3 linked regions of the Saccharomyces cerevisiae S288C genome follow. The gene in region 1 interacts genetically with each later gene. Each region holds a gene or a part of one and is shown in the gene's direction. Other genes may lie near its edges.

Evidence for each region. A genetic interaction does not mean that the proteins touch.
Region 2: mutations in STB1 (region 1) and AEP2 together harm fitness more than expected from each alone (negative genetic interaction), as found in Saccharomyces cerevisiae (2 studies listed by BioGRID).
Region 3: mutations in STB1 (region 1) and CAD1 together harm fitness more than expected from each alone (negative genetic interaction), as found in Saccharomyces cerevisiae (2 studies listed by BioGRID).

The regions. Positions count from the first base shown.
Region 1 is NC_001146.8:47,479-55,718, forward strand, and holds STB1 (Stb1p), read left to right. Parts: upstream 1-5,183; coding exon 5,184-6,446; downstream 6,447-8,240. Other genes in the region: tetratricopeptide repeat-containing protein EMW1, read right to left, coding at 1-544; RFA2 (Rfa2p), read left to right, coding at 809-815, 924-1,738; putative SCF ubiquitin ligase complex subunit SKP2, read right to left, coding at 1,919-4,210; ZIM17 (Zim17p), read right to left, coding at 4,429-4,953; KRI1 (Kri1p), read right to left, coding at 6,644-8,240. UniProt on the Saccharomyces cerevisiae protein: Involved in the regulation and timing of MBF-dependent transcription in late G1 of the cell cycle.
Region 2 is NC_001145.3:830,615-838,852, reverse strand, and holds AEP2 (Aep2p), read left to right. Parts: upstream 1-3,754; coding exon 3,755-5,497; downstream 5,498-8,238. Other genes in the region: ATP-dependent DNA helicase YKU70, read right to left, coding at 1-666; RIT1 (tRNA A64-2'-O-ribosylphosphate transferase), read left to right, coding at 1,986-3,527; GPI12 (N-acetylglucosaminylphosphatidylinositol deacetylase), read right to left, coding at 5,600-6,514; DNA-binding transcription factor CAT8, read left to right, coding at 7,524-8,238. UniProt on the Saccharomyces cerevisiae protein: Required for translation of the mitochondrial OLI1 transcript coding for the mitochondrial ATP synthase subunit 9.
Region 3 is NC_001136.10:1,315,305-1,322,950, reverse strand, and holds CAD1 (Cad1p), read left to right. Parts: upstream 1-3,675; coding exon 3,676-4,905; downstream 4,906-7,646. Other genes in the region: proteasome regulatory particle lid subunit RPN9, read right to left, coding at 1-746; SNX41 (Snx41p), read right to left, coding at 1,010-2,887; DYN2 (dynein light chain), read left to right, coding at 3,110-3,134, 3,231-3,253, 3,334-3,564; SIP1 (Sip1p), read left to right, coding at 5,178-7,625. UniProt on the Saccharomyces cerevisiae protein: Transcription activator involved in oxidative stress response and cadmium resistance. Regulates the transcription of genes overrepresented for the function of stabilizing proteins including the inducible Hsp90-family protein HSP82.

The DNA.
Region 1 (8,240 bases):
AGATAATAGGTAGCGGAATTTCTTGATCCGGGGTAACATCAAATAAGCTTTTTTGGCCGGTTATCCTTTCAAGTAATAATAGTGATAAAACCAAATACAATGGATCATCCATAAATTCGTAGGCAGGCTGGCCCATAATGGCTAATGAGCGGGAAAGGGCTGTATTAACTGCTCCTATTTCAATTCCAGTTTTGCCAAACAAACCTGAGATTGCTTTCAACCTAGCTGCTGGGCCGGTGTAGTTATTTTGAATAAAGGTCTGTAAGAGGGCAATAGCCAAAAATAGCATCTCATTTTCTTGGCCCATTTTGAAAACCTCAACGTTAAGAAAGTCATTTAGAGCAGCAATAACACTAGATGTGGATATTTCTCCCGAAATACTAATTTTTCCCTTAAATTTGTCCACAAATTGCTGTACTAGCTGGTATGATTCACCACTGATGATATGTTCAGCCTTTTTCACATATGTCTGGTCGAAAGAACCACTTTTCAGAGATTCTACTTCTGCAGACAGCAATAATTTTGCATGCAATAACGTCTCCATAATTTTGCAACCACTAGTTTACTTTTTGCCTGGTCTGATAGCTTCTTTTTAGCAATTCCTTTGGCCTCGATGAGCTTCCATTTTCAATTTTCATCTTTTTTTTCACGATGCGAAGTTTCTTAGATAATTATCGCCATATACGAAACGCGTTAGGAAACGCGTTCTTTCCTTTATAATAAGCAATATTATATCAACTTAAGGTGGAAGTAATGTGGCAAAATCGATAGCGACTATCTAGAACAGGCTAGTTTAAGCATATACATAATGGCAAGTATGTATTAGTGCTAGGAATTGGAGGATTTGCTCTTTTCTGCATCATTTTTTTTATTTTTATTGGCGAATGTTAAAATTACTAACAATGGATGGGATTCCAATACAGCCTATCAACCATATAACGAATATTCATCAGTAACGGGCGGTGGCTTTGAGAACTCTGAGTCCCGCCCAGGTAGTGGGGAGTCGGAAACTAACACTAGAGTTAACACCTTGACACCTGTGACGATCAAACAAATTCTAGAGTCCAAACAGGATATTCAGGACGGCCCCTTCGTTTCGCATAACCAAGAACTTCATCACGTTTGTTTTGTAGGTGTGGTGAGAAACATTACAGACCATACTGCAAATATTTTTTTAACTATTGAGGATGGAACTGGTCAAATAGAAGTGAGAAAATGGAGCGAAGATGCAAATGACTTGGCTGCCGGTAACGATGACTCTTCTGGTAAAGGTTATGGTTCGCAAGTCGCCCAACAATTTGAAATTGGCGGTTACGTAAAAGTTTTTGGTGCTTTGAAAGAGTTTGGTGGTAAGAAAAATATACAGTATGCGGTGATTAAGCCCATAGATTCATTCAATGAAGTGTTGACGCATCACTTGGAAGTCATCAAATGTCATTCCATAGCCAGTGGAATGATGAAACAACCTTTGGAGAGTGCATCCAACAACAATGGGCAATCATTATTTGTCAAGGATGATAACGATACATCTTCCGGCTCCAGTCCGTTACAAAGAATTCTAGAATTTTGTAAGAAGCAATGTGAGGGCAAAGACGCTAATTCATTCGCTGTTCCCATTCCATTGATCTCGCAATCCTTGAATTTGGATGAAACTACCGTCAGAAACTGCTGTACGACCTTGACTGACCAGGGTTTTATCTACCCAACTTTTGATGACAATAACTTCTTTGCCCTATGAAAATATATAGATTATTTTTTTAGCATTTCTTAGTATTCGTTTGTGTATTTCTACTAGGTAAGTACCAAAATTTGCCGGAAATAGAGTGGAAAATGGAACCCGTTCCAAGAAGGGGTAAGATGCATGAATATTAAGTTGGTTGCATAAATATGCTATATAAAGTCCACTACAAAAAGTCATTTATTTTTGCCCGTAAGAATAAAGAACGAATCCGTCCTTATCTCTGACTTCAATGGGAACATTTACACGCAGTACGGGCTTCAATAATAGTTCCCAGTCGTATCTGGTTCTAGGTGTACATAATGAAAAATGTCTCAGCATTCTTATTTTGACAGCTTTGAATTTTGACAAATTTCTCAGGAAACACCAGAGGTTAATATTTGGAATATCTTTAAAATTCTCTGGATCTTGGAAATCATTGAAAAAATTTTCCAATGTCACATTTTGTAAGAACTCCTCCACATCTAAATCTCTATATTCGATGGTTCGGTTCTTCAATTTGATTAAACTATCTCTTAGGCAACGCCTTACAGAGTTGTTCCAATAGTAAGTGTGGTGAATGTCTGATTCAGGGCTCATTACTGTACTTAAATTTGGAACTGCATTAGCATTTGGTATGTTATCTCTTATGGAATTATTTTCGTAACCGATTAATGTTTCTTGATCGTTCTCGTCGCCAACATCCTCATCTGTCTCATCAACACTAGTAATTGTTCTTGCTAGATGTTCCCAAAACGATAGAGGGGATAAAGGATACACATTGGTAAAGGGGATATTGATTACGTTAATAGAAATATTTTTACTTGGAAGTCTCTCCCAAAGTAAGCGGTAATAATGGTAGAAAGAATGAAATTCAGGGATTCTTTGTCGTTGAAAATTTTGTAGCTGTGCCGCAGTTAACATGGCGGGCTTTTTGTTATTGTCTGGTGATGGGTTATTTGAAACATCATTTCCTGTAGTTCTAGAAATATAGTTCAGATTTAAGGACAATACAACTGAAGATGTCGGCGGAGGAGTAATTATCTTCGAATCTGATGGCGCTTCAAATAATGTTTCTGTCATGGAATTGCAGTCATCAAAATCATCTTCTGTATCCAAACTTCGCTGTTGGAAATAATATGATTCGCCGACTACCTGTTCGTTAGTGAAACATTTGCTATTACAATCAATTGTTAGATTGGATAACGATGGGAAACAACTGCATAACAATAAGTCGAATTTACTGTTAATCTTCAGTAAGGATAGATGTTTGACCATTTTAAAGTAAGAGTGAAACAAACGTAATATTCCATTTCCAGGAACTACATCACATGAATCTAAAGTAAGTGCAGTGATAGGAGACTGTAAACTGTACAGTTCATTATCTTCGTTCTTTAGAAATAGTGGTAAGAATTCCATTGGAGTATCTAGCGATTCGGTGTCTATCGTTACATTTTCTAGTTTAAGTTCATTAATTATGCCGAAACAGCAGAATAAACTCGGTCTTAGTACGAGCTTTTGGTGATGGCGTTGACGATTAAAGGTTCTTTGTCTTTTATTATTAGCTTTGATTTCCAGTATTTTCAACCTTGGCAGAGAATAATACTTGGATTCGTATTCTTTGACAAATTTTTTGGATAGTTGGAAAGTCCTCAAATCTTCGTTTGTGATGGATTGCTGGCCCTTGATTATTTTCTTGAAAAAATCTCTAGATCCATCGTTGAATACAGAGTACCATAAAGGAATTTTAAAATTCGGTTCCACATCACTCAGAATCACTCTGGTCAGGTTCGGTAGATAGTCTATAATATCAAGCATTAGCTCAATATAAGTATAATGGAAGTAGTTGCTTTCCAATTTATCAAGCAGTTTGATTCGTTCTGAAGTTATGATGGGAGTCTCATCGTTTAGTCTGATGTTATTCAGTTTTTTTACGTCTTTATCATACGAATCGAGTTTATAAGATCCAGCAATAATAGAATCTTGGCCACTCTTATTATAGAACTTACTGTATTTTAACAACGAGTCTTGGGACTGAGGATTTTTGAATTCGATGGATCTTACGAGGAACCTTGCATTTTGTGATCTAGATTGTGTGCTACAATCACCGCTGTGTGTGACAATGTTCGACGTGTGGAACTCGGAGTGTATCAAAGCATTGAACTTTAACAACGAAAGTTTTGAGTCCAAAATAACGTTTTGGAAAAGGAACTCATTCGTAATCAAATTGTAGAACCTCGAATTGACTTGGCATAGTGTTACTAATGTATTGAAGTCCAAAGTTCGCAGTATTAACAGTAGAACTTTTGTTGGCAAACACATGAGGGACGATTTATCGTTGAAGCGTAGTGATCTCGATTTGATATCATGGCTCGTACTATGTAGAAGGCTTTTGGCATCAGCACAGCCCTCTTCCTCTTCTTCTTCCTCCTTCGCAGCACTGGAGACCAGCGAGAAATATTTTGATCTACCAAACAATTGCAACCGTTTCATGATTCGGTTGGTTTGAACGTTTGAAAATGCGGTTCAACTTTTCATATCTAGCAGTGGCTCATCTTTATGTACTCTAGTCCTAAATCTTCTGCTGGTTATCGCAAAAAAATATGTGATGTGCGGGTTTTTGGCAGTAATCATGACTCAGTCTCTGGAAAAACGTGCTATTTAACGGTTATATATCTATCTATGTACATGCCTGTGCATGAGCTCTTCATTCATTTCTGGGAAGGGTGAGGGAGCTGGGATGCATTTTCTGAGTTGTTCTTGGCATATTTTCCCAGGACGTCCTTTAGCGAATCTGGGATGTCTTCAAACTCCAAGTCGCCCACGTCTTGGCTAACTTGTTCTCCGTTAGCTTTCATTAACTGTTCCACGGTAACATGATGATCATGGAATATTTTCAGATGGTCTGCTATCAAATGTCTCACTTTGCAGTGCGGACAAGAGATCAAGACAGTACCTTTCTCGTACGCCTGCTTGGACATTGTGTGTGAAGATCGGGTGTTACATTTCTTGCAGGTGAAAGCTATCATCATCTTAGGCTTGTCTACCTTAAAAGACCCCAAATGAACCTTCTTATCGTCCTTTTTCACTTCATTATGTGCGATGATATTGGTATGCAACGCTGCTGCGGGTAGAGTACGGCACACGTTGTAGCGTACGCGAGGCGCCCAACATCTGGCAAAGTACCTGGTAATTGGTATTTTACTTTGCAGTAGTGTTCTAGTCCTCGGAATCATGTTCAGTCTCTTGATATTCCAGTTGCACCGGTGCTGCTTTAGTATCGCTGATCCCTTGAAGCCAACATGACGCTCTTTCACCTTTCCTCTCATAATTTTGATATCACGCGAAAATGCAAGAAAAAAAAATTACAATTATGAAGTGCAGAAGGAACCAAAAATATCATCGAAAGAAGGAGTACGTAGAGCGTTACTATTTTCAATCAGTGTTCCCATTGTGCATACAAGAAATGTCTCAACCCCAGATGTCCCCTGAAAAAGAGCAAGAATTGGCCTCCAAGATTTTGCATAGAGCTGAGTTGGCTCAGATGACGCGTCAATTAAAGCTTGGTTTAAGTAATGTCCCATCAACAAAACGAAAACAGGACTCTACAACAAAGAAAAGAAGCGGAGAGGATGCCGAAGATGTTGATGAGGACCACAAAACTCTTTTGGAAGCCATATCGCCTGCGAAAAAGCCTCTCCACGATGATACAAATAAAATGACTGTTATATCGCCCGTAAAATTTGTAGAGAAGCCAAATACTCCCCCAAGTTCACGCCAACGAAAAGCCGAAGACCGCTCACAGCAGATCAAGCCTAGGAAGGAGGACACTCCATCTACTCCGAGGGCTTCTGCTACACCTATAATCTTACCACACGCTTCGTCACACTACCAGCGCCCCCATGATAAGAATTTCATGACGCCAAAACGTAATAATAACAACAGCAGTAACCATAGCAATAACAATAATAATATCAAGAAGAAGGCAGCAGGCTCTAAGGATGCTCCACAGGACAGCGACAACACTGCGGGCGCTGATCTCTTAATGTATTTAGCCACAAGTCCATATAATAAGTCATCACATCATGGAACACCGATGGCCGTAAGGATGCCCACTACTCCACGCTCTTATCATTACGCGTCGCAATTGAGTTTGAACGGTAATACAGCAAGCACATCAAACGATGCAGTAAGATTCTCTCATATCAAACCTTCAGCGTCTTCTCCGCAGTCCACTTTCAAATCTAATCTGTTACCGAATTTTCCGGACGAATCTCTCATGGATTCTCCATCACTATACTTGAGCAATAATAACGGTAGTGTCCAGGCGACACTATCGCCACAGCAGAGAAGAAAGCCCACCACAAACACATTGCATCCACCTAGTAACGTACCTACCACGCCTTCAAGAGAATTGAACGGTACCAATTTTAACTTACTCAGGACGCCCAACTTCAACATGGGAGACTATCTGCATAATCTTTTCAGCCCTTCACCAAGGGTCCCCGCCCAGCAGGGAGCGTCAAACACGTCAGCTTCAATTCCTTCTGTTCCAGCGATGGTGCCCGGATCATCTTCCAACACTTCTGCGATAGCAACAGCTGCTATATCAAGCCACACCACAAACAATTTTCTAGATATGAACGCAAACGGGATCCCGCTCATTGTAGGACCCGGCACCGACCGTATAGGCGAAGGGGAGTCCATTGATGACAAACTCACTGATTGATCGTTGACGGCCATATCAGTTGATGATTCCATACTTCCTGAAATGGACCACTCAAAGGGACAAAAATGACAAATGTTGAAATTATAAAATTACATATTAATACGTAAAATGACATTCTTTTTTAGGGAAATTCGGAGATAGATTATCACTATGTAAGCTTATGTATCGTAATATACAGGGCCGATATTTCACCTAGTTTACTTTTTCTGGTGGCCTTTATGTTTATGACTGTGCCCCCTCTTGTGTTTGCTTTTAGAGGCTTTCTCTACAGGTATCAGTATGGTGTCCTCATCCTTCTCCCCTGCCTCTGCTTCGACTGGAGCTAACCCATTTTCGTTCTTAAAAGTTTTCTTCCTCCACTCTCTTAATCTTCTTGCCTTCATCACTTTCCTTTTATCCTTCGCTCTTAGTTCCTTGGAACGATAAGGTGCAAATTTCTTCAAACCAATAAATTCATTTAAATCAGTATCATCGGCGGCGAAAATCTCTCTTGCGGTCAAACCGAAACTCTCAGGAGAAACTTCACGGTAACGAAACTTCAAATCTTGCTCCTCTTTTGTACGGCTTCTACTCTTTCTTTCTTCTTCTTCTTTTTCAACCTCCTCTATTAGTGCTAGTTTGTTTTGTTCCAAAGCATTTTCCACTAATTCATTTACCTTTCTCTTTTCTTTCTTCTTTTGCAGTTTCTCTTCTTTCTTGCTCTTCTTTCTTTTTGGACCTTCTTCCTCGTCTTCTTCTTTTTGTTCTTTTTCCACTTCACCTTCTTCTGTTTGGTCATCACCATCGGCGTCTGCATAAAAGTCACCCATTATTTCGTCATCCTCGTTCCAGGTAGGCTTTCCCTCTTGTTGATAAAATTCTTCATTAAATAATTCAGCTACCACGTTATCCCACTCTTCTTCTTTGAAATCGTTCTTCAATAGGGTGTCAGTGATTTTTTTCACCATGTCGGCATTAATTTCAGCACCATATTCCTTTGTTAGTTGCTCTAAAATGTCAGTCAATTTATTCAATTTTTTAGTCTTCTTTTTCTGAAGAGCTGTCTCCTTCTCTGCTTTTATTTGCTCTTTAATTTTTCTTTTTTCCTCTCTTTTTCTTCTGCGTGAAGAGTCATCGGATCTTCTTAGTGTAGCTTGACTACGTGCATAAGATATAATTTCAGCTGCGTTTGGGTCCTCGTACCTAAAATTGTAGGCATTCTCAAATTTTTCTGCAGCATCTTCAAATTCTTCATCGTCCTCTTCATTATTGTTGAGGTCAAGAGAAATCACCTTGTCCCCCTTCTTAGGAATCCAGGCCTGTTGATTCACAAATTCTTCCAAGAAATTTTCTTCATTTACGGTTGGATCCGGTAAATTTTTTCCTTCCTTCTTCGTAGAAGGTTCCTTTTTCTTCAAAAACCCATCGTCTTCATCTCCGCTAGACTCTTCATTTTCTTCATCGCTAAAGGCACTCTTGATTTCATTTAAAAGCTGAGTTTTCTCTTCACGTTGTTGCGAGACGAAAGATTGCTTTCCGTCAACAGTTGCATGTTCGTATTCTTCGTCATCCTCCTTTAAGGCATCACCAGAAAGTATGTTCATACGGTGATAATCTTTTAGGTAAATAGGTTTATGCTTCCCCTCACGATTGGCCAGTTTGGCAGCAGCAGATTCGGGATCCTCGAAGAATTTGACTTTAGGATCTAGTAGTTTGTCCGTCTTATTGTTTTTGATGGCATCTAGCACTTGATTAATACCGTTTTCCACTTCATCAGTAATCAATTCACCGTAATCATCTTCCTCCTCTTCTTCC
Region 2 (8,238 bases), on another chromosome or scaffold:
GTCCGAATAAAACTCGTTGTCAAATGGTTTATCGGCATAGCCAATAAAAAAAGTTGCAAAATTCACTTTGTTATCAAATAAATCAATTGTAAGCCTTCTCAATCTTGCCCGTTCATCGATATCTTGCGCCTCTTGTGGTTTATCAATGTCAGTGAATAAGAACACTCTCTTGTTGCTTAATTGCTTTTGACCCGGAATCTCTTCCAAAAAAGTGTCAAGCATGAATGTGAATAATACAGATAAGCGCACTTGCTTTTCACTCCCAGTTTGTTGAAACATAAAATAGTCGTATAGGCTTATTCTCCCCGATGATAAATCTTCTAAAAGATCGTTCAATTTCTTCATAAATGTAGCATTTATATCCCTTAATGGAAAAAGTTCATAGATACCTTCCTTGGCATCCTCTCTGTTACAGTAATAAAAATAGCAACCAATAGCTGTCCCAGGTCTTGTTATGACCAATTGTGACATTAGCTCATCTAGTGATTCCAGAATTTCCAACAATGGTGATTTATACTCTAGATCAGAGGACTCTTTAAACATTGTCTCTGATAGTTCAATGCAAAACAAAATTCCTTCATGGATATCAAACTTCCTATAACCTGTTTCATCCACTTGATCGTTAAGTTCTCCACTATTGCCAAATGCATTAGTGACTGAGCGCATAATATTCCCGTTTTAAAATCAGGCTTAGAGTCACTTAACAAATCATAGCTTTACTGTTGAAAACTAGAACAGTAATACAGAGAATGTCATTTGGTAGCTACCTTAAAGCAATCCCTAATACATGAAATTGAGAATCTTCAAAAATTAAGGTAATCAAAAGTAAAAAAATATCTCCCGGGGGCGAGTCGAACGCCCGATCTCAAGATTTCGTAGTGGTAAATTACAGTCTTGCGCCTTAAACCAACTTGGCTACCGAGAGTCAATTAACTGATAACCATTCAATTATGAGTCCGTCTAATATCATGCTTATTCACAATTTTAATATAAGCAACCTTGCAGAAGTGACCTGTTGTCAAAACGGAATATCAACTTGATTGAGGGGATGATAATTATCCTATATATTCTATAAATATGGATTATACTGAATATTGGGTGAATAATTTGATAATTGTTGGGATTGCATTGTTGATCAAGGCTATATAATATTATGTACACAGAATATATTAGAAGTTCTCCTCGAGGATAGAAATCTCAAAATGGAATCTATATTTCTACATAATAAAATTACGATTATTCCTCATTCCGTTTATATGTTTCATTATCCTATTACATTATCAATCCTTGCACTTCAGCTTCCATTATACTTGATAACTATTTCTCAATCCTTATTTTATGTTTTTCCACCGCATATTATAATATGCCAGTAATATTTATTCTTATTAATGGTCGTTAATTTCACACCAGGCGTGTTTATAACTGAGTAATCACTTTAAATTTGAGCATCCGGTTTTGCACCGTTAATAGTATCATTGTTAATTAGTAGGCAGGTTGTAGTATATTCTAAGAATAAAACAGGTGCCCTTAATCTGTACAAGAGAAGAGTATGAAATATGAATTACATTGGGCATATCGACTATACGCAATATATCAGTAGCTTCGACGATTTAGGTAGGTATAAGGGTTTCCTATACCTGTATACACAAATTTCAAACTTATGGCCGAGCCAGATAGTCCTTTAGCTATGCCTTCCATTACTTCTTGGAAAGCTTGTTGCATTTCCCGTCATATTATGTACGGTTACAACTTTTTTGTTGATTTCCATGCCCGAAGGGAGCTTAGCATAGCCGCTATTACATAATCTTATCATCTTCATCAAAAATGAACTTCTAAAATCATCCCACCACTCTATTGCTCTTCATATATGCGTTGTATGTTTATGTGCTTTGTTCTTATTACTGCTTAACTGTGACTGGGCCCATTATTCATTGTTCATATGCAGGAAAAAAAAAGCATGCTTGAAAATTTTGATCTCTTGATGGATGGTATCGAGGCTATCAAAGAGATATAGATCCAGAGTACAGTTTAGTATATCCGTGATGGATGAAAATATTTATCTTTCGCTATCTCAGATAAATAAAGACATCAGAAAGGAAAACAAGTCCGTAAGGAATCGACTTCAGAGTATTCTTTTAGACAATAAATTTTTGCAAGATCGAGTTATCCCTATATTTCCCCATTATCCACTGATACCCAATGAAAGATGTGGGCTATGGTACTGTAATCCATCAAGTTTCAAACAGACCAGTTACTTTAAGAGCACAGACGGGCATGTCAACCAATGGGACTTTAGCACCCGAAGATTGAACTTTCATTTGTTAGAGACCATTCGAGATAATAAAGGTATTATAATTGTCGATAGTACTAGAAGAGGTAAAAAAATCCCAGATGCTTTGAGTAAGACTGTCCCCATATGGTGTGCTGTATTAAATACGTTAATGCTTCAGGAAACAGAAAAAAATGTTGCCATCGATAAGGTACTGTATCTTCCACCTGAGACAGTTCCCAAATCAGAATATGACATGATTAAGCGAAAAATACCCGAACTAGTTGCTAAACTACAAAAATTGAATATTATAGATTCTAAGAAATTGAACGAACTGTTTATGGGTAAGTTATTGCGGCCCATATGGGTTCACCCTGGTTCTTCACTTCTAGACCATTCTGTTGATTACTTCACGGGTGAAGTACAGGAGTATGAAGCCTGGGAAACACCTGAAGACCAAAACATAATACCCATTATTTTGTGCACGGTAAGCTATCAAGCACAAGATGGTATGGATAAAAGATACGGCTTCACTTATGTGCAGGGTGCAGCCGACGATCACGAGCTCTGGTCTTTTGGTTTGGATTCAAATATGTTTTGGGCCCATATAGAATACCTAGGCGACGCAAGTTATTCAGACGACCAGTTACATGATTACATCATGGATTTGGCTGCTGCAAAGCTGAGAAATCAGTGTTATATACAAGATAAAGGAAGCTTGGATGAAGTCTTTGGAAACATTGATAAAATTACGAATGAGATATCTCTAGGAAAAGTGAGTTCAGGCTTAACCATCAATAAGAATTTGAAACAGAAATTGAAGTCAGAATATGGTAAAGTTATAATTTTCAGTAATTCGGTGACTGTTGCTGAAGATACAGACGATGAAGAAGAAAGTGGGACAGATCCGTTTATTTCAATATACAAGTTGCAAAGCGGAGACAAGAAAAGTTCAAAAGCTTTACGATCCACATTCCCTAGAATCCATGGAGAAATTCAATCGTTGTTTACAAATCGAGATGAAAAAATAAAGCCAATGCTAATATGCTGCAATACAGGTACTGATATGTCAATCGGTGTCATCTTAAGTATCCTTTGTACCAAATATACTGAAGAATGGATGCTTACGTCGGAGTTACCGGACATCAGTAAGCTTATTGTAAGAAAACACTTGACAAAATTGATTTCCCACTTGAAAGGACGCAACGTTAACCCTTCAAGAGCAACACTGAACAGCGTCAATAGCTTTTTAATGTAGTGAGTTAGGCAATACTGAGATGTTTACTCGCAATGTCACTGTATATTTTAATATCAAATAACGTCAGTTTTTATTAGAAAAAGAGCGGGTTACCGTTTATCCTGAACAGAAAAGGTTCATTGAAAAAGAGCCCTTCAGACATTGGCTAATGAAAAGAATATGTAAAATCAAGAACAAATTAACGAAGCTCTCCTTCGTTAACAGTCCACTACCTAAATTTATGATTAATGTGGATAAATAGACTGGTTAAACATCCATCCTACAGTGTTCTGAGGTTTTACACGAAGAGGCTCTGCACTGTATCAGTGAAATCGCTGCGTGAATTTGGTGTACTGCCGAATAGCACAATATGTCATTCTGTCTATCCCCGAAGAACGTATGTAATGGGTAGGGCTGTCATAAATGATATTTTAATCAAAAAATCCTATTCAACTCACACGGTATGTGCAATTGATCGATCAAAAGATGAAAATAATGGGAGCGCTTATGACAAATTCGAGGCAAAAGGTATACCTATAGATGTTCACACATTAAAACGAATTATCAGCTCGAGTGGAATGGATGAATCCGAATTTTCCAAGAGTATAAGTTACTTATTCGCGAAAACCGTGGACCCTGAACCGAAGGATGTTCTGTCTTTAGAGGACCTGTCTTTTCTTTTGAGCAAACTATACACACAACGGTTTCAAATTAGGAGAATCTGTAGAGACATAAACGCTAAATATTCAGAATTTTGGTTCAAACTTTTTTCCTTATATGCAGAAAAAGTTGATGCCAAGAGAAACCAAGTTAACTTACGGAATACGAAACTAGATGCATGTGAAATATTTGATGCAAATCTTATGATCAAGAACTTTATAGAGCTCGGTCAATTAGGTAAGGCTCAAAAAATTTTAAGCTTTATTCTTGATAGAAATCCTGATATATTACTGTCTCCGAAAAATGCAGATATTAGCACAATAGTTCACTTTTTACAACTGCGTTGTGGCGCTTTGGCGCCTTATTGGAAAATACCAGATAATAGTGAGCAAAAACAAGGTTTTTTAAGAAAAATGGTTCGACTAGGTGCGAAAAATACGTCAATTCGTCTTTCTTCTACTTACAAAGCCATGGATCACCAAACATTATTAAAGATTGCTGATCTTGCTCTGCAGGAGAAAAAGCTTTTGAATTCCGAGGATTTGTTGTCCACTTTAATTCAATCCTTTGGACACCTAGGCCAAACCCAAATATTGGAACGGTGTATTGAACATATATGGCAAATATCACCCCAAGAGTTTCCTAGTCACGTAGTAATTAAGCACCGAGGGTGCTATCCTAGTTCCAAAATACTCGTTTCAATCTTAGTGTCATTCTACTTTAATGACCACGATCTTCACAGAGGCCTAAGTATTTTGGATTCATTCATAAAGCACTATCCGGACGTGAAATTGGATGCGCTATTTTGGAGAAGGCTGTTTCAGCTAAGTCATTTTGCTTGGACACCAGCAAACGACAAGAAAGCCACTTCTGTTGTTAGATGTTGGCATTTAATGAAGCAGTGGTATGCATCTAAGCGGCTAAGGCCTTCAGTTGATTATGAGACGTTGAGACAACTGTACGATATCATGAAGAAAACAGGCAATTTCCCGCTTGGAATTGATGTTTTAAGGAGTTTCAAACCGGGGATCGAAAGAACGAGAGCAGAAAATGCTGGAAAAGTTAACAATATCATTATCAAATACCAAAAATGTATTATTAAGGAGCTTGTAAATAGAGGTAGATTTTCAGCGGTAAGGGAATTCATTGATAGTTATGGTTTTGATAGAAAAATGACCAAAGATTTGAATATTTTTTGTGCGAATCGTATGTTTCTAAGAAGTAAGAAAATGAAAAACAAGATTGAGAACAAAAAGGAAAGGGAGAAAGTGCGGCTAGATAGTTTCGATGACGATGAAGATGATGGTATGATTATAGGTAGCCTTTGGTAAGAAAAGTGTAAGTAGAATTAGCATTTATTTTTCTCCATATTCTTATTCTATAGGATGTAAATAATATGGGACTTTTTTATATATATATCTACAGTGTAGAGTCTAATATGTATAAACATCAAATTCATTAACGAAGACAAATCTGGAAAATATCCACCATCCGTATCTAAACCACACAACTTGGGATTCGTGAGCATTTAGCATAGTGGCAAACGCTAGTACGTATTGTGCATGTGTATTCATAAGTGAAAGCTTGTCTTTTTCGGCGGCTGTGTTAGGCGGAAGCGCCTGAATTATTCTACGGAATGGAGAAATCAGGTCGTAAAGTATTTTTAGGATTTCCCAAATAAAGGAGTTGTACTTTAAAACGATGTTGTTCTTGTAGCTTCTCAAATAAAGCGCAGTGACATGAGGTGGTTGTTCATTTCTTTTGGTCTTAGGTTGAGCATAATCATCCACCAACTTTTTAACGGCAGCATAACAGCTTTTGTGGTTGATATGATTTGATACACCATATGAATCAAAGGTAACGATAATCTGGTTCAAGTTATGATTCTTTATATCTATCTTTTGTGAAAGAGAAGAAGTTATAGAATCAATATCCCATATTTCGTCCATACCATCCTGGAAATCCATCACCTGTACGGAGACTGCTCTTTCATTGTGTAGCAATAAAGCGGCCGACTCATTTAATTCTCTTACCCTGGTTTCGCCAAGACCTTCGGCGTTGCCCTTTGATAAGCAGATTATGTTAAATGGGACGGTTCTCGGAAAGTACGAATTCAGTTGAGAAATTATGGGGGAAAAAAACATAACTTCGTCGTCAGGGTGCGCTATGACCAAATTGATTTCATAATCGCCATATTTATGAGGAAAAATATGCTGCAATGATGCATTGTTTCGGGAGACGATTTTGGGCGTAAAATAAATATATAGGATCGTCAGTACTATTGCTAGTTTAGTAATCTTGTAAAGCAATTTTGAAAAATTTACCTTTGTACGCCTCAACATCTTCATTTAACTTTTCTTCAGGGTTTGAAAGAATCTAATATACGGCTCTAGCGTCACCTATCTACACTTAACAATTCGATAAATAAGGAGGGCAATGCAAGATTATAAATAAAAGCGCAGCGTCGATTTTCCTTTTTCTATGACGTTAACGTAACTAGTAAACCTTCTAGAAGGGACGACTCCAATGAGATAGAAACGGCGAAGCGGGAATTTAGGAGTACTTGTTACCCGGCTACTAGTTTATTTCATACAAACACATTGACACATTCGCACATATACATCTACGAGAAATTACTGAATGTGAAAAGGATCAGAGGCAGTTAAAAGAGGTAACAACTTTTATCATCAGATTGTGATACGACTTATACTATTGAATGTGTATGATTACACAACTTTCCTTCTGCAGAACATTTTTACATCTGTTAAGATGGTGCAACATTTCTTTTTATTAGCACATTACTTTTGATGAAAGAGTATATTCAGTTATCGTAGCTCCTCTCACTTCTTTCTATCCGGTGTTTATTCGCGATATGAGTTGTGATATCAGAGACAGAGAGAGTTTATGTGCGTAACAGGAACGGAGAAAACCAGAGTAATTGAGTATTATAAGCAATAAATCATAAAAAGACATTCTTTCTCGTGCAATTTTTTGGTATTCGGGATAATCTTCTACTTGAAACTTCTTTTTTTCGGTGTTTAATTTGCCTATTGGTAAATATTTTTGCCGCCGAGGTTCTCAGTGATTATATTCGTATTAAGCGATAACCGAGACATGCATGGAGCGGCGGGGCTGATATTTTGTGGGGTACGAAAGCATGATTGGTCAGTGACACTCAAAAAAAGAAAACAGCCGTAAAATAGTAGATTTTGTTAAACTCCCCTTTAAACCTGTGATATTGTAAAAAGACGAAGAATTTAATAATTTAATAATTCATTACGGTATTTATTTCTTCATAAACAGTTACAACACCCTAAAGAGAATTTACAAGTTGAGTAAAAGACAAGACACAAAATTATGGCAAATAATAATTCTGATCGACAAGGTTTGGAACCCAGAGTCATTAGAACTCTGGGTTCACAAGCGCTTAGCGGTCCTAGCATATCTAATAGAACTTCAAGTTCGGAGGCAAACCCTCATTTTTCCAAGAACGTGAAGGAAGCAATGATCAAGACAGCTTCTCCGACTCCTTTATCTACACCTATTTACAGGATAGCTCAAGCTTGTGACAGGTGTCGATCTAAGAAAACAAGGTGCGATGGAAAAAGACCACAGTGTTCGCAGTGTGCTGCTGTCGGATTTGAATGCAGAATAAGCGATAAATTACTGAGGAAAGCGTATCCAAAAGGGTACACAGAAAGCCTGGAAGAAAGAGTACGCGAACTGGAGGCAGAGAATAAGCGTTTGCTAGCTTTGTGTGATATCAAAGAACAGCAAATAAGCCTTGTTTCACAGTCGCGACCACAGACATCAACGGATAATACCATAAATGGCAATTTCAAACATGATTTGAAAGATGCTCCATTGAATCTGTCTTCTACAAATATCTATTTATTAAATCAAACGGTTAATAAGCAGCTACAAAATGGCAAAATGGATGGTGATAATAGCGGTTCTGCAATGAGTCCATTGGGGGCACCACCTCCACCGCCACACAAAGACCATCTTTGTGACGGCGTTTCCTGTACAAATCATTTACACGTCAAGCCTACTTCTACGAGTTTAAACGATC
Region 3 (7,646 bases), on another chromosome or scaffold:
TCGTAATTGGAATCGTTGACTATAGTTTCCATTATTGGATGGTGTAATAGTTCGCCAAAATTATAGATTTTGTCACCTAACAATGCTGAGATACTCAAATCATAGGCCAATTGTTGACGTTCGGCTAAAGTAATGCTTGTAGATGGTTCTAAGGTAGAAAGGTATAATAGACTTGTGTAGTAGAAAGAATTGAAATCATTTTTAAATTTAAAATACTGGGAATTTGTAGAATAGAAGCTGTTTGTTATCCTTAATGGAATGGAATCCTTTTTATCCAATGTCTTTTCCAAATCATCTAATAAATCTCTTGCCTTAACGAGGTCGTTCTTTAACAGGTAAGTTCTAGCAATTTCGCTATCTATCAACAAAATACCATCACCATGGTCTTTTGATCCATTATTTCTTTGTTTTTTAGAGTCCAATTCTTGAAATTGAGCCTTCAAATCATCCAAATATTTTAAAGACTCATCGAAATCCTTAGAATCCTTCAAAGAGGCAAGTAGATACTTTACTACTGACAATTGGTTGATTTTATCATAAAATTTAGAAACGAAGTTATCATATAATCTGAGCCTCAATGGTGTAGATTTAGCATCATCAAAAAATTTAGTCAAGGATTCGGACAATTGGAACCACAATTTCTCTTCATAAAATTTCTCAAATTGTTCGAATAAAGGATGCAAAGAGGGATCTGCCTCCATGCGGAGAGTGCTTAATATGGTGTCAATTTCATGATTATTAAACATCTTGCGAAATATAATGTGGTTTCCTCGCGTGTGCCCACTGTTTGCTTTTTGGTACTTAATAGTTTCTTCAATCTAGGTCTAGCTTTTATTTGTTCTTACTTTTGCCACCGGATGAAAGCGGGGAGCGGGTAAGAATGAAAATGATAATAATAGGATAAATGAATGTGTGTATTCAAATTTTTCTAACGTATACGTTATATGTATATATATATATATATATATGTATATGCTATTTGCAACACGATGCGTGACGGTAATGCTTTTTATAGGGCCTCGTCGATTTGTAACTTTGCCAGTTTCCAATTCTTCAGACATTCTTTGATCCATGCTTTGAAGCTAGCTGCGAAAAGTTTCAAGATCTTTCCAATGGTCAAATTAATATGGTTATATGTATGCATTAAGCTGTTGTATGACGAATTGTTAATTTCTAGCATGTCTGATATACAGATTGATAGACAATCTTTCAATTTGGATAAATCTTGGTTCAACTGTTTGATCTGTTTAGATCTTTCTTGTTCAGTCAATTGTTTGATTTCTAATTTATTGAGATTCATTGTTGGCGTAGACGTTTTATAGTTTAGTTTACTTGCGCCTATATGAATTTCGTTTTGGTGTCCACTGGAGCTTGAATTTGAACTTGACTTCGATAGCGATCTTACGTCCTTTTTAACAAATGTCAGGTCAGCAGCCTTTGTATCTTTGTAATTTTCATCTGTCAATATAGTCGACCGCGTTAAACTTTCATTAATCTTCTGCAGTTGGTTTTCAATCTCAGTGAGACTCGAAAGTTTCGTTTCTTTTTCGATAATTAGCCTCTCTAATATTTTAAATTGCAAAAACTTTAATTTCTTGAAATTTAGAACTTTGAATGACTCATTTAAGAACTGCAATAACTCATTAATGGGGTCCTCAAGAATAGAGGTGTACTTTTCTATTAAGATCTCGGAAGAAATGTATATAACATCGAATGAATGGCCTGTCTTTTCAATATGACTAATAATTTCCATCATTGGGTTGTTTGAATTGTTTTCAGATTCGCGAAGGCTGTTGGGCATGGTTATGTCATTTTCCAAACTAAAAGCATTATAATATGCGCCTAATTCAGCAAAATACGTGGACAAGGAGTGGAAATGAGATTTATTTGATCTTATGTTTTTTAATAAATGGGTGATTATTCGCTTATAATTTTGGAATAAATTTTCAATATGTGTAAATTGAGATTCGTTTTGTAAAATTTCTGTTGGGAGGTTGGAAATTTCATTATGACTTTTTACTGTGATGTGTTGTTGCCAAATCGAATTATAGTTTCTCAGAGACGAGTTGGATGGAATAGGTAAAATAGAATGAAGGGGGCTTGGTTTTGTTGGGCTTAAAGGTGGAGCTAAAAGGTTATTCAAAGGTAGTATGATTATCGGCGACGAACTTAAAACATCTTTCCAATTAAATTCAGGGTTTAGAAATTTTTGAAAAACAATATCGTTGCTTATTTCTTGAATGTTCAGACAGTTAGACAAGAATGAATTGAGCATTTTCTTCCTGGTGGAGATAATTTTGGAATCATTTGCTGCGTTTATGGGACTCCATATGTATTTGAGAAGAGAATGCTTGGATGGAATGGGTGGAATAATTATCGTAGGAAGGAGTCTAGTTAGAGATTGCCTCAAAGAATGAAATTCAGAGTACCTTCTGATAATCTTGTTGTTTTCATATAGAATTACGTAACCGATAGCGTGTTTCCCCCATGGATCTTTGAAATCGCCGGCATCAATGATTTGGATCTGCTGTGTCCCATTCATATCGTGGGGAGTAAATTTGCTAATAGTAGCAGTAGTAGACATCGACAAGGAAACAAAAGGTTCAGTTTCCGCATCTGCTTCCACTACGGCATGAGAAGAGGTTGAAGATGACGTAGATGCTCTGGAAGAGCCAGCAGAAGAGGAATGTGCCGGGCTAGATGGCAAAGACGATGAAGAAGGGGGCGAATTTTCGTTCTCTGGGCGAGCTTCGCCGATAGTAGTCCCAATTCCAGAAGCATATAGGTGATGAGTGCCGACGAATGGATTATTATCTTCTTCTGAGAGATCCATGTCAGATGTGCTGCTTTGTTGTTCATGTACCGCCTCAAATATGTTGTAGTCCATTTTTTCTGTATGTGTAGTAGTATCCGTTGTTACTCACTACGTGTATAGATGTCTATTTATGTCTCTATCCCTTATCTCTTTATCTTGTTGCCTGGTTCTCTTTTCCCTTTAAATGGAGATTACAAACTAGCGAAACTGCAGAAAAGGAAAGCCTCCAAAACTACTGCCAGGGTAAAAAGTGAAACTGGGAAACGACATAAAGAAGAGCAAATTAAAACCAAAATGAGCGATGAAAATAAGAGTACGCGTATGTCAGTTAATCTCAGTCACAATTTTGTGACTTTCAATACAATTTTTCTTTACTAACTCGAGGAAGAGTGAGGTTTTCTTCCATGAATTGCAGCTATTGTTAAGGCGTCTGACATAGTATGTAATTGTGCCATGATATACATGTTTTGTGTGTGTACATTTGAATATATATATTTACTAACAAGGAGAAAACTTAGACCGACAAGCTGAAAGAGGATATTTTAACCATCAGTAAAGATGCTCTGGACAAGTACCAGTTGGAAAGAGACATTGCTGGGACGGTAAAGAAGCAATTGGATGTCAAATACGGCAATACCTGGCATGTGATTGTCGGAAAGAACTTTGGGAGCTACGTGACACACGAAAAGGGCCATTTTGTTTATTTCTATATCGGTCCACTGGCGTTTTTAGTTTTCAAAACAGCATAAATAGTGTTTCTTCAATAGTTAATCGATAATCAATTACTATTATACTTTCATACGAATGGGGTGTTACTTTTAAGGACGACATATAAGCAATGGAACGACCAGTTAAGATAAATGGGCAATATCCTTCGGAAAGGTCAGCAAATATATTTAGCAGGTGACATGAAGAAGCAAATGTTGCTAAATAAAGATGGAACACCTAAGAGGAAGGTGGGCAGACCAGGCAGAAAAAGGATTGACTCTGAAGCTAAGAGTAGGAGGACTGCCCAGAATAGGGCAGCTCAACGAGCGTTCCGAGATAGGAAAGAAGCCAAAATGAAGAGTTTGCAAGAGAGGGTAGAGTTACTAGAACAGAAAGATGCGCAGAATAAGACTACCACGGACTTTTTACTATGTTCTTTAAAAAGTTTACTGTCGGAAATTACAAAATATAGAGCTAAGAATTCTGATGATGAAAGAATATTAGCCTTCCTCGATGATCTGCAAGAACAACAGAAAAGGGAAAACGAAAAAGGAACAAGTACAGCAGTTAGCAAGGCTGCAAAGGAATTGCCATCGCCTAATTCAGATGAAAACATGACTGTGAACACAAGTATAGAAGTACAGCCGCACACTCAAGAGAATGAGAAAGTTATGTGGAACATAGGCTCATGGAACGCTCCCAGTTTAACCAATTCGTGGGATTCTCCCCCCGGAAATCGAACAGGTGCCGTTACCATCGGTGACGAAAGTATTAATGGTAGTGAAATGCCAGATTTCAGTCTCGATCTTGTCTCCAATGATAGACAGACTGGTCTAGAAGCTTTAGATTACGACATTCATAACTACTTTCCTCAGCACTCTGAACGCCTGACCGCTGAAAAAATAGATACGTCAGCATGTCAATGTGAAATTGACCAAAAGTATCTTCCATACGAGACAGAAGATGATACTTTATTCCCCAGCGTGCTTCCCCTTGCTGTAGGGAGCCAGTGTAATAATATTTGCAACCGCAAGTGTATCGGGACCAAACCATGTTCAAATAAGGAGATCAAATGCGACTTAATAACAAGCCACCTGTTGAATCAGAAATCTCTAGCTTCGGTGCTTCCGGTGGCTGCTTCTCATACTAAAACAATTCGAACCCAATCTGAAGCAATTGAACACATTAGCAGCGCCATATCGAATGGAAAAGCGTCTTGCTACCACATTCTCGAAGAGATCTCCTCCCTACCAAAATATTCATCGTTGGACATAGATGATTTATGCAGCGAATTAATAATCAAGGCAAAATGTACAGATGACTGCAAAATAGTAGTCAAAGCTCGCGACTTACAGAGTGCTCTGGTTAGACAGCTCCTGTAGCATATAAACATATCTTGAGTATACATAATGTTGGATGAGAGCATGTAATATTGATCGCTTTGTACGATGATTATACCTTTTTTGTCTTTTTACCATTGTCTCTGATGGAATACTATTGACAATTAACAATGGTAGATATATCCGATACAAGTGGATACCTACATAAACAAGGTGTCTTACCTAGTGTTTCTTTCATTTGCACTTCTTTTTTTGCGTGTGGACTGACATCTTGGAAAGTTGAACTGTCATATTATATAGTTGTTGCAGCCGCCATGGGAAACAGTCCTTCTACTCAGGATCCATCGCATTCAACCAAAAAGGAGCATGGACATCATTTTCATGATGCATTCAATAAAGATCGTCAGGGAAGCATAACCTCTCAACTGTTTAACAATAGGAAGAGTACTCATAAGAGACGCGCCAGTCATACTAGCGAACATAATGGTGCCATTCCCCCTAGAATGCAATTACTTGCATCTCACGATCCATCGACAGATTGTGATGGGCGCATGAGCAGTGATACTACTATCGATAAGGGCCCGTCCCATCTATTCAAAAAGGATTATTCTTTGTCCTCTGCCGCAGACGTAAATGACACTACGTTGGCCAATTTGACTTTAAGTGATGATCACGATGTGGGTGCACCCGAAGAGCAGGTGAAATCTCCGTCGTTTTTGAGCCCAGGTCCATCAATGGCCACTGTCAAACGAACTAAAAGTGATCTGGATGATCTGTCTACTTTGAATTACACCATGGTTGACGAAACAACAGAAAATGAAAGAAACGACAAACCACACCATGAAAGGCATCGCTCAAGCATCATAGCTTTGAAAAAAAATCTTTTAGAAAGTTCAGCTACTGCTTCCCCTTCTCCAACGAGGTCTTCATCGGTGCATTCAGCATCACTTCCCGCCTTGACCAAGACGGATTCCATTGATATTCCTGTAAGACAACCCTATTCAAAGAAACCATCTATCCATGCATACCAATATCAATATCTCAATAACGACGAAACATTTTCTGAGAACTCTCAAATGGATAAAGAGGGAAACAGTGATAGTGTAGATGCAGAAGCAGGCGTACTTCAAAGTGAAGATATGGTTTTGAACCAGTCTCTTTTACAAAATGCTTTAAAAAAGGATATGCAACGTCTTTCAAGGGTGAATTCCTCTAATTCAATGTATACTGCAGAAAGGATAAGCCACGCTAATAACAATGGAAATATTGAAAATAACACCCGTAACAAGGGAAACGCGGGAGGCTCCAACGACGATTTTACCGCACCTATATCTGCTACTGCAAAAATGATGATGAAACTGTACGGTGATAAGACCTTGATGGAAAGAGATTTAAATAAGCACCATAATAAGACAAAGAAAGCCCAGAATAAAAAAATAAGGTCGGTTTCAAATTCGAGAAGATCCTCATTTGCTTCTTTGCATTCTTTACAATCAAGAAAGAGTATCTTAACAAACGGTTTGAATTTGCAGCCTTTGCATCCACTACATCCAATTATTAACGACAATGAAAGTCAATACTCTGCACCGCAGCATAGAGAAATATCGCATCACTCTAATTCCATGTCGAGTATGTCTTCAATATCATCAACAAACTCCACCGAAAATACTTTAGTTGTTCTAAAATGGAAAGACGATGGTACCGTGGCTGCAACCACGGAAGTCTTTATAGTAAGCACGGATATTGCTTCTGCTCTTAAAGAGCAAAGAGAGCTTACCTTGGATGAGAATGCAAGTTTAGACTCAGAAAAACAGTTAAATCCTAGGATCCGCATGGTTTATGATGATGTGCATAAGGAATGGTTTGTTCCAGATCTTTTTTTGCCTGCAGGAATTTATAGACTGCAATTCTCCATCAATGGTATATTGACTCACTCAAATTTTCTTCCTACAGCTACGGATTCAGAAGGCAATTTTGTCAACTGGTTTGAAGTATTGCCCGGTTATCATACGATCGAGCCATTTAGAAACGAAGCAGACATCGACTCGCAAGTAGAGCCAACACTGGATGAAGAATTGCCCAAGAGACCGGAACTTAAAAGATTTCCTTCTTCCTCTCGAAAATCTTCCTACTATTCTGCTAAGGGTGTTGAAAGGCCAAGTACACCGTTTTCAGATTATAGAGGCTTAAGTAGGTCCAGTTCAATAAATATGCGTGACTCATTTGTACGTCTGAAGGCTAGCAGTTTGGATTTGATGGCCGAGGTCAAGCCTGAGAGGTTGGTGTATTCGAACGAAATACCAAATTTATTTAATATAGGTGACGGCTCTACGATTTCTGTAAAAGGAGATTCTGATGACGTGCATCCCCAAGAACCTCCCAGCTTTACACATAGAGTTGTTGACTGTAATCAAGATGATTTATTTGCTACTTTACAGCAAGGCGGTAATATTGATGCAGAAACAGCAGAGGCGGTTTTTCTAAGTAGATACCCAGTTCCTGACTTGCCCATATACCTGAATTCATCCTATCTGAACAGAATACTAAACCAAAGCAATCAGAATTCAGAATCACATGAGAGGGATGAAGGTGCGATAAATCATATTATACCCCACGTGAATTTGAACCATTTACTGACAAGCAGTATTAGAGATGAAATAATCAGCGTAGCTTGCACTACTAGATATGAGGGGAAATTTATCACTCAAGTAGTTTATGCACCTTGTTATTATAAAACACAAAAGTCTCAGATCAGTAATTAGAATCTCAATTCGCAATGATTC